2 linked regions of the Macaca fascicularis genome follow. The protein of the gene in region 1 interacts with the protein of each later gene in a biochemical or structural test. Links are inferred from orthologs where the notes say so. Each region holds a gene or a part of one and is shown on either strand. Other genes may lie near its edges.

The links.
Region 2: the proteins of MAGEF1 (region 1) and NSMCE1 form a complex in vitro, tested with the Homo sapiens proteins (2 studies listed by BioGRID). The link is inferred for Macaca fascicularis from reciprocal best matches to the Homo sapiens genes MAGEF1 and NSMCE1.

The regions. Positions count from the first base shown.
Region 1 is NC_088376.1:96,642,185-96,646,577, forward strand, and holds MAGEF1 (melanoma-associated antigen F1), read right to left. Parts: upstream 2,532-4,393; 5' UTR 2,289-2,531; coding exon 1,362-2,288; 3' UTR 832-1,361; downstream 1-831. UniProt on the Homo sapiens protein: Enhances ubiquitin ligase activity of RING-type zinc finger-containing E3 ubiquitin ligases. Proposed to act through recruitment and/or stabilization of the E2 ubiquitin-conjugating enzyme at the E3:substrate complex.
Region 2 is NC_088394.1:26,312,822-26,317,114, forward strand, and holds part of NSMCE1 (non-structural maintenance of chromosomes element 1 homolog), read right to left. Parts: intron 4,068-4,293; coding exon 3,946-4,067; intron 3,157-3,945; coding exon 3,079-3,156; intron 2,048-3,078; coding exon 1,901-2,047; intron 1,138-1,900; coding exon of another isoform or gene 958-1,137; exon of another isoform or gene 856-957; intron 1-855. UniProt on the Homo sapiens protein: RING-type zinc finger-containing E3 ubiquitin ligase that assembles with melanoma antigen protein (MAGE) to catalyze the direct transfer of ubiquitin from E2 ubiquitin-conjugating enzyme to a specific substrate.

The sequences.
Region 1 (4,393 bases):
GGAGGTGGCAGGTGGAAAGCAGTAGGTAGAAACATGGAAGGGAGAACTGGGCTTCCTGGTGCCAGAAGAGAAATCTTGAAGTGGAAATTCTTGGTAGTAGTAGATTTATGTACCCTTCGTTCACACTACATAATATTCCAGAAGTATTACCTTATTTGATCTCTGAGGGCTTTGGTAGAAGAGGGAACCCTGTAGAAGTTGAAAAGGAGACAGAAAGGGTCAAAATTTTAACAATCACCATCTTTGTGCACTGTTAACAATCTGGTCTGGAAAGAGGACACTGGTGAAGGTAGAGTATTTTCCAGATCTGCCATGTATCAAGTACTGCTCATGTTACTGAGTAGTAGCTGTAATCTGAAATCAGTATTTTTATTTTTTATTTTTTTCTGAGAAAGGGTCTTGCTCTATCGCCCAGGCTGGAGTGCTGTGTCGTGATCTCGGCTCACTGCAACCTCCACCTCCTAGATTCAAGGGATTCTCGTGCCTTGGCCTCCCAAGTAGCTGGGATTACAAGCGTGCACCACCACGCCTGGCTAATTTTTGTAATTTTAGTAGAAACAAGGTTTCTACTACTGACCAGGGTGGCCAGGCTGGTCTTGAACTCTTGACCTCAGGTGATCAGCCCGCCTCAGCCTCCCAAAGTGCTGAGATTACAACAAACCTCACTCAATCACCCCAGCTGGGTTAAATATCCCTTTGTAGTCTTCAACTTACTGCACTGTTAATTTCTCGTTTATTTACTTACTCTCCAACTCTGAAAAAAAGCAGGACCTTTATCTTGTTTAGTATTCTAACCCCAAGTGCCCACACAGTGCATCACAAAAAACAAGATACTCCACAAATGTTTAATTTATTAAATGTACCAGGGTATACTAATTCATTACATTTTAATTTTTCTATAGATACTCAAATAGCTAAGCAAATGGAGGTACATGCCAGCCTTTCTTCTTTTATATACAACAGACAAAAGTATTGGGAGGCTAGACACCAATCAGCTATTTTTTCTCCTGGAACCAGATCATCATACTGCTGAGTTCCTTCAAACCATTAAAGTACAGCCTTCCTTCCAATGCTCCATAATCTGTTCAAAATCACAGTATAAATACAAAGTTCTTCAAGCCATTTTACAAAACCAGCAAAACTCTACAACAAAATCCTACAGGAAAAAGTAGAACAATCTCATTTACAAACAGCATTTTAACAGTATTATTAAATGTAACAAAACATAAGATACAAAATCTAAATCCTTAAAGTCACACTATTTCTACAGAAATAAGACCCTCGCCCCACCTATACTACTTATGACTCAGGACAGTAGCTCATCCCCACGGGGACCCCACTGGCCAACTTTTCACCAACCCTCACCAGAGGTGGATGCCGGCCCTAGCACTGGCCCTGGCCCTCATACTGGCTTCAGCTCTGGCCTTGGCTCTGGCCCTGTCGGCCTCGTCTGCTAGGGCCTCACGGTACTGCACTGGCCAGTGCTGGGGTTCCTTCTTATGCAGCTTGGCCACGAACCCCAGGACTTTCATCTTGCTGATTTCCAGGTTGCTTCGGGGACCCCAAGAGAATTCATATTCCGGTGGACTGGTGTGAGGCACCCGCCTGTAACTGAGGTATCGCTGCTGCACAAAATCTTCCATAATAAGCCTCTTCGGATACCCAAAGAGGAAATGATACTTTGAGGGTTGCATCCCCAACCGATGCAGCATCTCCCAGACTTGGGCTTCCCTGGCCCTATTACCTCTCATATAGATAAGGCCCAGGATCATCATTAACAGACCCAACCTGGGGCCATCTCCTCCCAGATCCTCCTCCTCCTCTTCCTCCTCAAGAGGTTTTAGTTTGTTGATCAGGATGTAAGTGTGGTGCTTGCGGTCAAACTGTTTCAGCTCAAAACCAAAGACATACCGCAGATGCTCTGCGGCCCTTGCGATGATGTTCGGGAACAGAGCCTTCAAGTCTCCAATAACGTATTTCACCATCTCCGAGCGTGTGATGGGACTCTTCTTCTTGTCTTTCACCAGGAGGAACTGCACCAACTCCGCCACCGTCCGATTCAGACGGCGGCAGGCCCTGCGCCTTGCCAAGGCTTTGGCTGCCAAGGCCCTCGCGCCTTTCCGGGTGAGGGCGGGCTCCGCAGCCCCCTCCTCCCTCCCGGCGCCAAGCTCCTCCTTGGGGCGCTCCTGCGAGGCGGTCCGGGCCCGGGTCTCACCATCATGGCCGCCATCCTTCTCCCCCTCGGCCTGCGGGACCGGGAGCCCCCTGCTCTCTGGTGTCTGCAACATGTTTTCGGGCAGGCAGGTGCACAGCGCGTGCACGGGCCGAGGGGTGTGGAAGCCGCCGTGCAAGCCCCGGGGGAGAGGCTGGACAGCGGCTGGGGCGGCGGGAGTACGAGGAGCAATGGCAGAAGGAACTTTGTAGCTGCTGGGCCGCACCACACGGGAGTCAAACCTGCTGCCGCAACGCCGCCAGCAGCCGGGACCTGCGGCGCGCAGCCTCAGTCCGCGCCCGCGCGAGGGGCCGCTTCCGGCCACCTCAGCCAGGATGGCGACCCTAGCGCCGCGCGAAGCCCCTCCTTTTCCGGCCCCTTCTGGGTGGGGGCGTGTGCCCGGGCTGCTATAAGTGGAAGTGCCCTGGAGGGTGGGACGTGGGTGCACCCTGTGCCGGATTTTAGGCTCGAAAACTCGGGGGCGGGGAAATGTAACCAGGACTCTCCCATCCAAGGCATGCAGACTGGGGAAGTTTCAGTGTACAAGGGATGAAATAGGGATGGAGTGCCACTCACGTTCTTTCTGCAAGTGCCTATTTGTAAGTGTGTGTATCTCGGATTTTCAGTGCTTTACCGTGGCTCTAGTGCAGAGTGCACGGTGAAGGCTGGGAGGTAAGACTGTGCGAGACAATTAGTAAGGGATGCTAGGGAGATTGAAATTTATTCTGGACATAAAGAGAAAATACTGCAGCGGGATTTAAGCAAGTGAGTGTCCAGACCAGATCTGTGTCTTCATGTTCTGGTGGTATTGTGGAAGATGGATTGGAGTTCGGCCGGCTAAAAGCTATAATCCAGTTTGGAGGATTATTATAGTGCAAACTAGGAATTGGGACCTGGCCTATTCACTGGGGTGTATCTTCAGTGCCTAGAGCAGTGCCTGACACAGAGAGGAACTCAATAAATATTATTCAATGGGTCATTATGGTAAGGGAGTAAGGACAGCAGATTCCATGGGGATCAGAGGAAAATGATAAGATATACTGAGGAAGTACAGCAGAAATAGGGACTGGTTGGAAGAAAGGGGAAGTTTTTTGGTTTTGTTTGTTTGTTTTTGTTTTGCTTTTTGTTTTTGCCCAAGTCAAATTTGACTACTGCCATGTATTTCTTCTTTTTCTCTTTTTACAGACTCTGAGCTTGCTTCCGCTTCTTGCTCCTTCCTTCCTTCTTTACTTCCCTTCTTCTTTCCTTCCTCCCCTTCTACCTTCCTCCCTCCCTCCTTCCCTCCCTCCTTCCCTTCCTGCCTCCCTTCCTCCCTCCCTCCCTCCCTCCCTCCCTCCCTTCCTTCCTTCCTTCCTTCCTTCCTCCCTTCCTTCCTCCCTCCCTCCCTCCCTCCCTCCTTTCCCTGTCTGAAATGCCTTCTTTGTTACCTCCATTTCTCCAAATCCTGTCCACCATTCAGGGCCCAGTTTAAACATCACCTTCCCAAACCTTCGTTAGTCACCATGCATAGAAGTTATTTATTGTCATCTCTGAATCACCTTAGCAATTTGTTAACAACCACGTATACAGGCCTATTAGGTGCCAAGCTCCATTCTAAGCATTTTTCAAATATTAATTCATCGGATTCTCACTAATGTAGGTACTAATACCATCATCCCCATTTTATAGATGATTGTGTCTTTTCTGTGGCACAGTTTGCTACTTACTGGCTGTATAATCTTGGGCAAGTTACCTAAACTTCTGCCCTTCTGTTGCCTTATCAGTAAAATGAGTATAATAGTAGTAACAGCATTGTGGAGATTATGTGAAGTAACGCACATAAGCATTTAACACAGTGCTTGGTACATATTGATATTCAATAAATGTTAGCTGTTAATTATTGCATATTTTTATATGCAATATACAATATTAGAATTGCAAGATGAACTGTCCTGGAATGCCTAGCACTCTGTGGAGATGCGGAGGAGGTGTCCTGGGACAAAGCACAGAACCAGGTCAGTACTCACCCATTCTGTGACCTTGCACAGGATGCTCAAACACTCTGGGCCACTTTTTTCCAATACTGTAGCCCTGCTAGGTAAGTGGTATTATTAGCCCCATTTTCCAGGTGAGGTTACACACAAGGAGGTTAAGCAACTTGCCCAACATCACACAGCTGGGACGTGAGCCCATATAGTATGA
Region 2 (4,293 bases), on another chromosome or scaffold:
ATCCTCCTATAATGAACAGGTATTTCCTGTAACATTTTTTGTAAGTTTTAAACTCTGTTCCTCTGTAACCTCATCCACCCGTTCAGTCATCCAATCAGCAAGCATTTATTGAGCGCCTGAGGTGCCACGCACTAGATTCTGCAATGGGAATCAGCCATGAAGAGGTCATAACCCTTGCCCTTAAGAAACTTGGCCCATGGCTGGGCACAGTGGCTCACACCTGTAATCCCAGCACTTTGGGAGGCCAAGATAGGCAGATCACCTGAGGTCAGGAGTTCGAGACTAGCCTTGTCAATATGGAGAAACCCCGTCTCTATTAAAAATACAAAAATTAGCCAGGCATGGTGGCACATGCTTGTAATCCCAGCTATTTGGGAGGCTGAGGCAGGAAAATCACTTGAAGCAGGAGGTGGAGGTTGCAGTGAGCCGAGATTGTACCATTGCACTCCAGCCTGGGCAACAAGAGCGAAACTCCATCTCAAAAAAAAAAAAAAAAAAAAACTTGGCCCTAAGAGGGGCTGCACCACAAGCGAGAATGGTCAGTTATAACCTCAGCAGACCCTAGAACATTCTCTAGTACCAAATACAGCCCGGAGGGCAAGAAAAACTGTGACAAAGCCATTGATGGGAGCTGCAGTCCCCAAACTGGGGCCTGAACTCGGCCCTGCCACTCTCAGGGTGTCCGATGTCATCCAGACCCCTGAGCTGTTGTCCGATGTCATCCAGACCCCTGAGCTGTCAGCTAAAAACTAAGCTATGGAGCCACTGCAGGACAGCAGGCAGCCTCCGAGACAGGACATATGGGAATGTGCCCAGCAGATCCTGCACTCACCAGGAGCTCCCAGCCCTGACCTCACCCCTGTGACCTCTGCCCTCACCCCGTGACCTCTCCACCCTTTCTTCCCATCAGGTACCCCAGGAACTGAATTTGGGTCAGGTTCCTGGTACAGGCCCACCCTACACAGAAATTAGTAACTCAGAACACAGACTTCCCCAATCCGGAGGCAAGCCTTCCTGAACAGGAAGTGGAGAGTCGCTGCAGCCACAAGCAGCAGCCTCTGGCCACAAGTCCGACCACCAAGTGAGGAAGCGGGAACCCGACGTGAGCGCGTCCTCAACACACACGGGCACGAGCATCTGGGAGGGCACAGCAATGGTCAACTCAGCAAACACTACGCTGTTGAAAACAGGGGTGCCTTTTGTGGAAAAAGAACTGAAACATTTGTTCTGCTCCATTCAGCAGGACTAGACGTGGGGGCGGGGCAGCATCTAGAAACTGGAGCTGCAGTGGGGCCTGTCCCAGACGTCACAGCTCCTTTCCTAAAGCTTGTCTGTGCCTCTTCTAAGTACTGACCCTGAGGAACTCACTGCTGACAAAAACAACAGTGGTAACGTCGCCAATTCCTCTGCTGCCTCCCCCGCGAGCCAGCCAGCGCAGCACGGAGCACGTTACTGTGAGGTCCCATTCCTGCTCCTGACACACCCAGCCCCAAAGGGGAAACGACAACTTCCCTCTTACAGGGAACCTGAGGTCACCTGGCTCAGGGTTCAGACCCGGGTCAGACATCACAGCCACACTCTCAGCCACGGAACTGCCTCTGCCTTGCAGTCTGTGGGCTAGAGGCTTGGTCCCGGGGCCCAAATCCCGGGTGCAGCTCCTGGCTCTGCCATTCTGGCTGTGGCATCCTCAACACATCATGTGGGTGAACAGGGAGTGGGAGGCAGGAGAGGTGAGGCCCAGATCCTCCCCATGGGGTCACTGCTGGAATGCGTGAAAGCAGATAAGGGATCTGAGAAGGCTGGGCTCCACAGACATCAGTTGGCTAGAAATACGATTTTGGAGACAAAACTGCTATTCACTCAAAAGAGTGAGCCGGACTGGAAAACCATGAGACAGTACCTCAATTAGCCACTTGTTTTGGACAAACTTCTGCAGCACCTGCTCCGCTTCCTTCTTCCTCATCTTCTTGCCTTTAAGTTGATCAACCAGGTTCAAAATGTTTGTGGAAGACGCAAAGCCAGTTTCTGAGTCAATAATTAGTTCCAGCTGGAAGAAAGAGCAGGTACCATGCTTCTCTATTAAAATGGCAAAAATAACTTTTAAATGGTAATACTAAGTCTGGCAGGGGTGCAGTAAGGCCACTCGGATCACAGGCAGAACTGCACACTGGCACGGTATTCGGGGAAAACAATGTAATACGCATCAAGAGTCAGGACTGTGCTCAGTTCTTTTGACTCAGAGGTCACTTCGATAACATCCTCCCAAATAAATCATCTTAATGTCCCCAAATCAGTAAGGGTCACCTTGCCTCACAGCTGGCCTCAGAGGCAGCGAGAGACAGACACGGCAGGCAGGAACCTCTGGAGAAGACAGGTTCCTGCACACGCAGATGTGTGCTCAGCTCAGCACCTGCTCCTCAACCCTGGCAGCTAATAAACCCCAGGAGAAGACCTCAAAGGAATGATTCCAACACCTGGTTCTCAGAGATTCAGATTCGACAGATCCCAAGTGGGGCTGAAATGTCTGAATTCTTTCTCACCTCTGCAGTTATGTAGGCCTGAGAACCACTCTTAGCCATATGTTTGACCAGAGGGCCGAGCAAGTAGCTCTGAAGCCTGGTAGAGCAATGCCGCTCAAATGTGCACATGCAAATGATTCAGCGGGCACCTGGCAAAAATGCAGATTCGGACTCAGCAGTGTAGGGTAGGGACTGGGACTGGGCCTTTCTAACAAGCTCCCAGGTGATGCCGCTGCTGCTGCTGCCTTTCCCAGATGGCACTTACAGCAGCCAGGTAGGAACGCCTGTTACTACCAGTGAGGCCCTGCTCTTGCCCATCCAGCTGGGGCTCACACCTGGCCCAGCACTTCCTTCCCAGGCAGCCATGGGGGCCCCTGACAGCTGTGAATTCCAGATGGGTAGACAGTGATATCTCCCTGCAAAGCCTTTCCTCAGACAGCAGTGGTGGCCCACGTCCCCCCAGTGATCCTTGAAGACTGCAGTTGCCACTTCTAACGACTGAGACAGAACTTTCCCATAAGAAGCCCAGCCAATGGGCGACGGGGATTACTCTACTTACAGCCTTTCTAAACAGATCCAGTTCATTCTCTGCAAAATCCGTAGCCATTTTGGAAATTGAAGTTGTAGCAAGATTCACCTAAGAAATAAGTCAGCGCAACAGTCAGGCTGTGCCCTTCGCGTGTTGGTTAACGTGTCACTGGCTCTCCCTCCCTCCCCTCCTCCGTCTCTGGCCAGTCACTGAGCTCCTGTATCCAGGCACTGCGAGCCGCAGGATGGATCTGTAACCAGGCATATACTACAGACTTTATTCTTTAGCTCAGTCAACATGCTAGACCCTCAGAAGTTTCAGAACTCCAGAGGGTGTGCAGTATTTTCCAAACTCAGATAAATTTGGGAGATTTGTCTACATGTTAATGGAGCTTCAAATGCAAAAGGCACTGAGAAGTCCGACAGCAAGGAAATCTGCTTTGCCGTGTCTGGCCAGCATTTCCATAGTTCTTTGCCTGTGTAATGTTTTGGAAACCCTGGACTAGAGTGCTCCTTTCTGAGTGTGAGCCTGGCTGGGAGCAGCCAGATGTCCTCTGACCAGCCCGAGGTGTCTCCTAGCCAGGGATGGGGCATGTCAGCTTCCCACTCCTGTGTTTCACCCTGATCCCTACCTGTGAGAGTAAATCTGAAAACCACTGAAGACCCCACGTGGGTCGCAATCCTTGACACTCCTACACACTGTTTCTTTTCATCGCTTCTATGTCTTATTCTAAGTAAAAAACCGTTTCTCCCTTTATTCCTAATATTCCATACATTTGGAGTGACTTCTTTACAAAGAACTGTCCAAAAGAGAAATCAAACCAAAGCAAACACGGGCTGCCTGGGCCCTGTTCCAGCTCCTCAAAAACGCCACTAGAGGGCTCTGCTGGGCACTCACCAACGCATAAATGGGTCTCCCGTCATCTTCCGTGACTCCTCTCTTTATCTCAATATACAAGGACTCCAAGACACTGTTAATGTTGTTGATGAAGTCCTCCAACTTATCTACAGTGGCATTGCCTGGAAATAAACAGACCAAAAAAGGGGTGTGATGGGGAGCCTCATCAAAAAAACGTAGCTTGCTTGAATAATTCCATCCCATCTCAACACAGGGGACAGCAACCCCAGACACGGGCGGAGGCTGCAGCCTCTTGGGTGAATGCCAGTGCCGTGTGGCTTCTTTCTTCCTGGAGTACTTGGAAGACAAACAGACAACAGATGGAGGGCGTTGTGAGGCAGGAGGGCC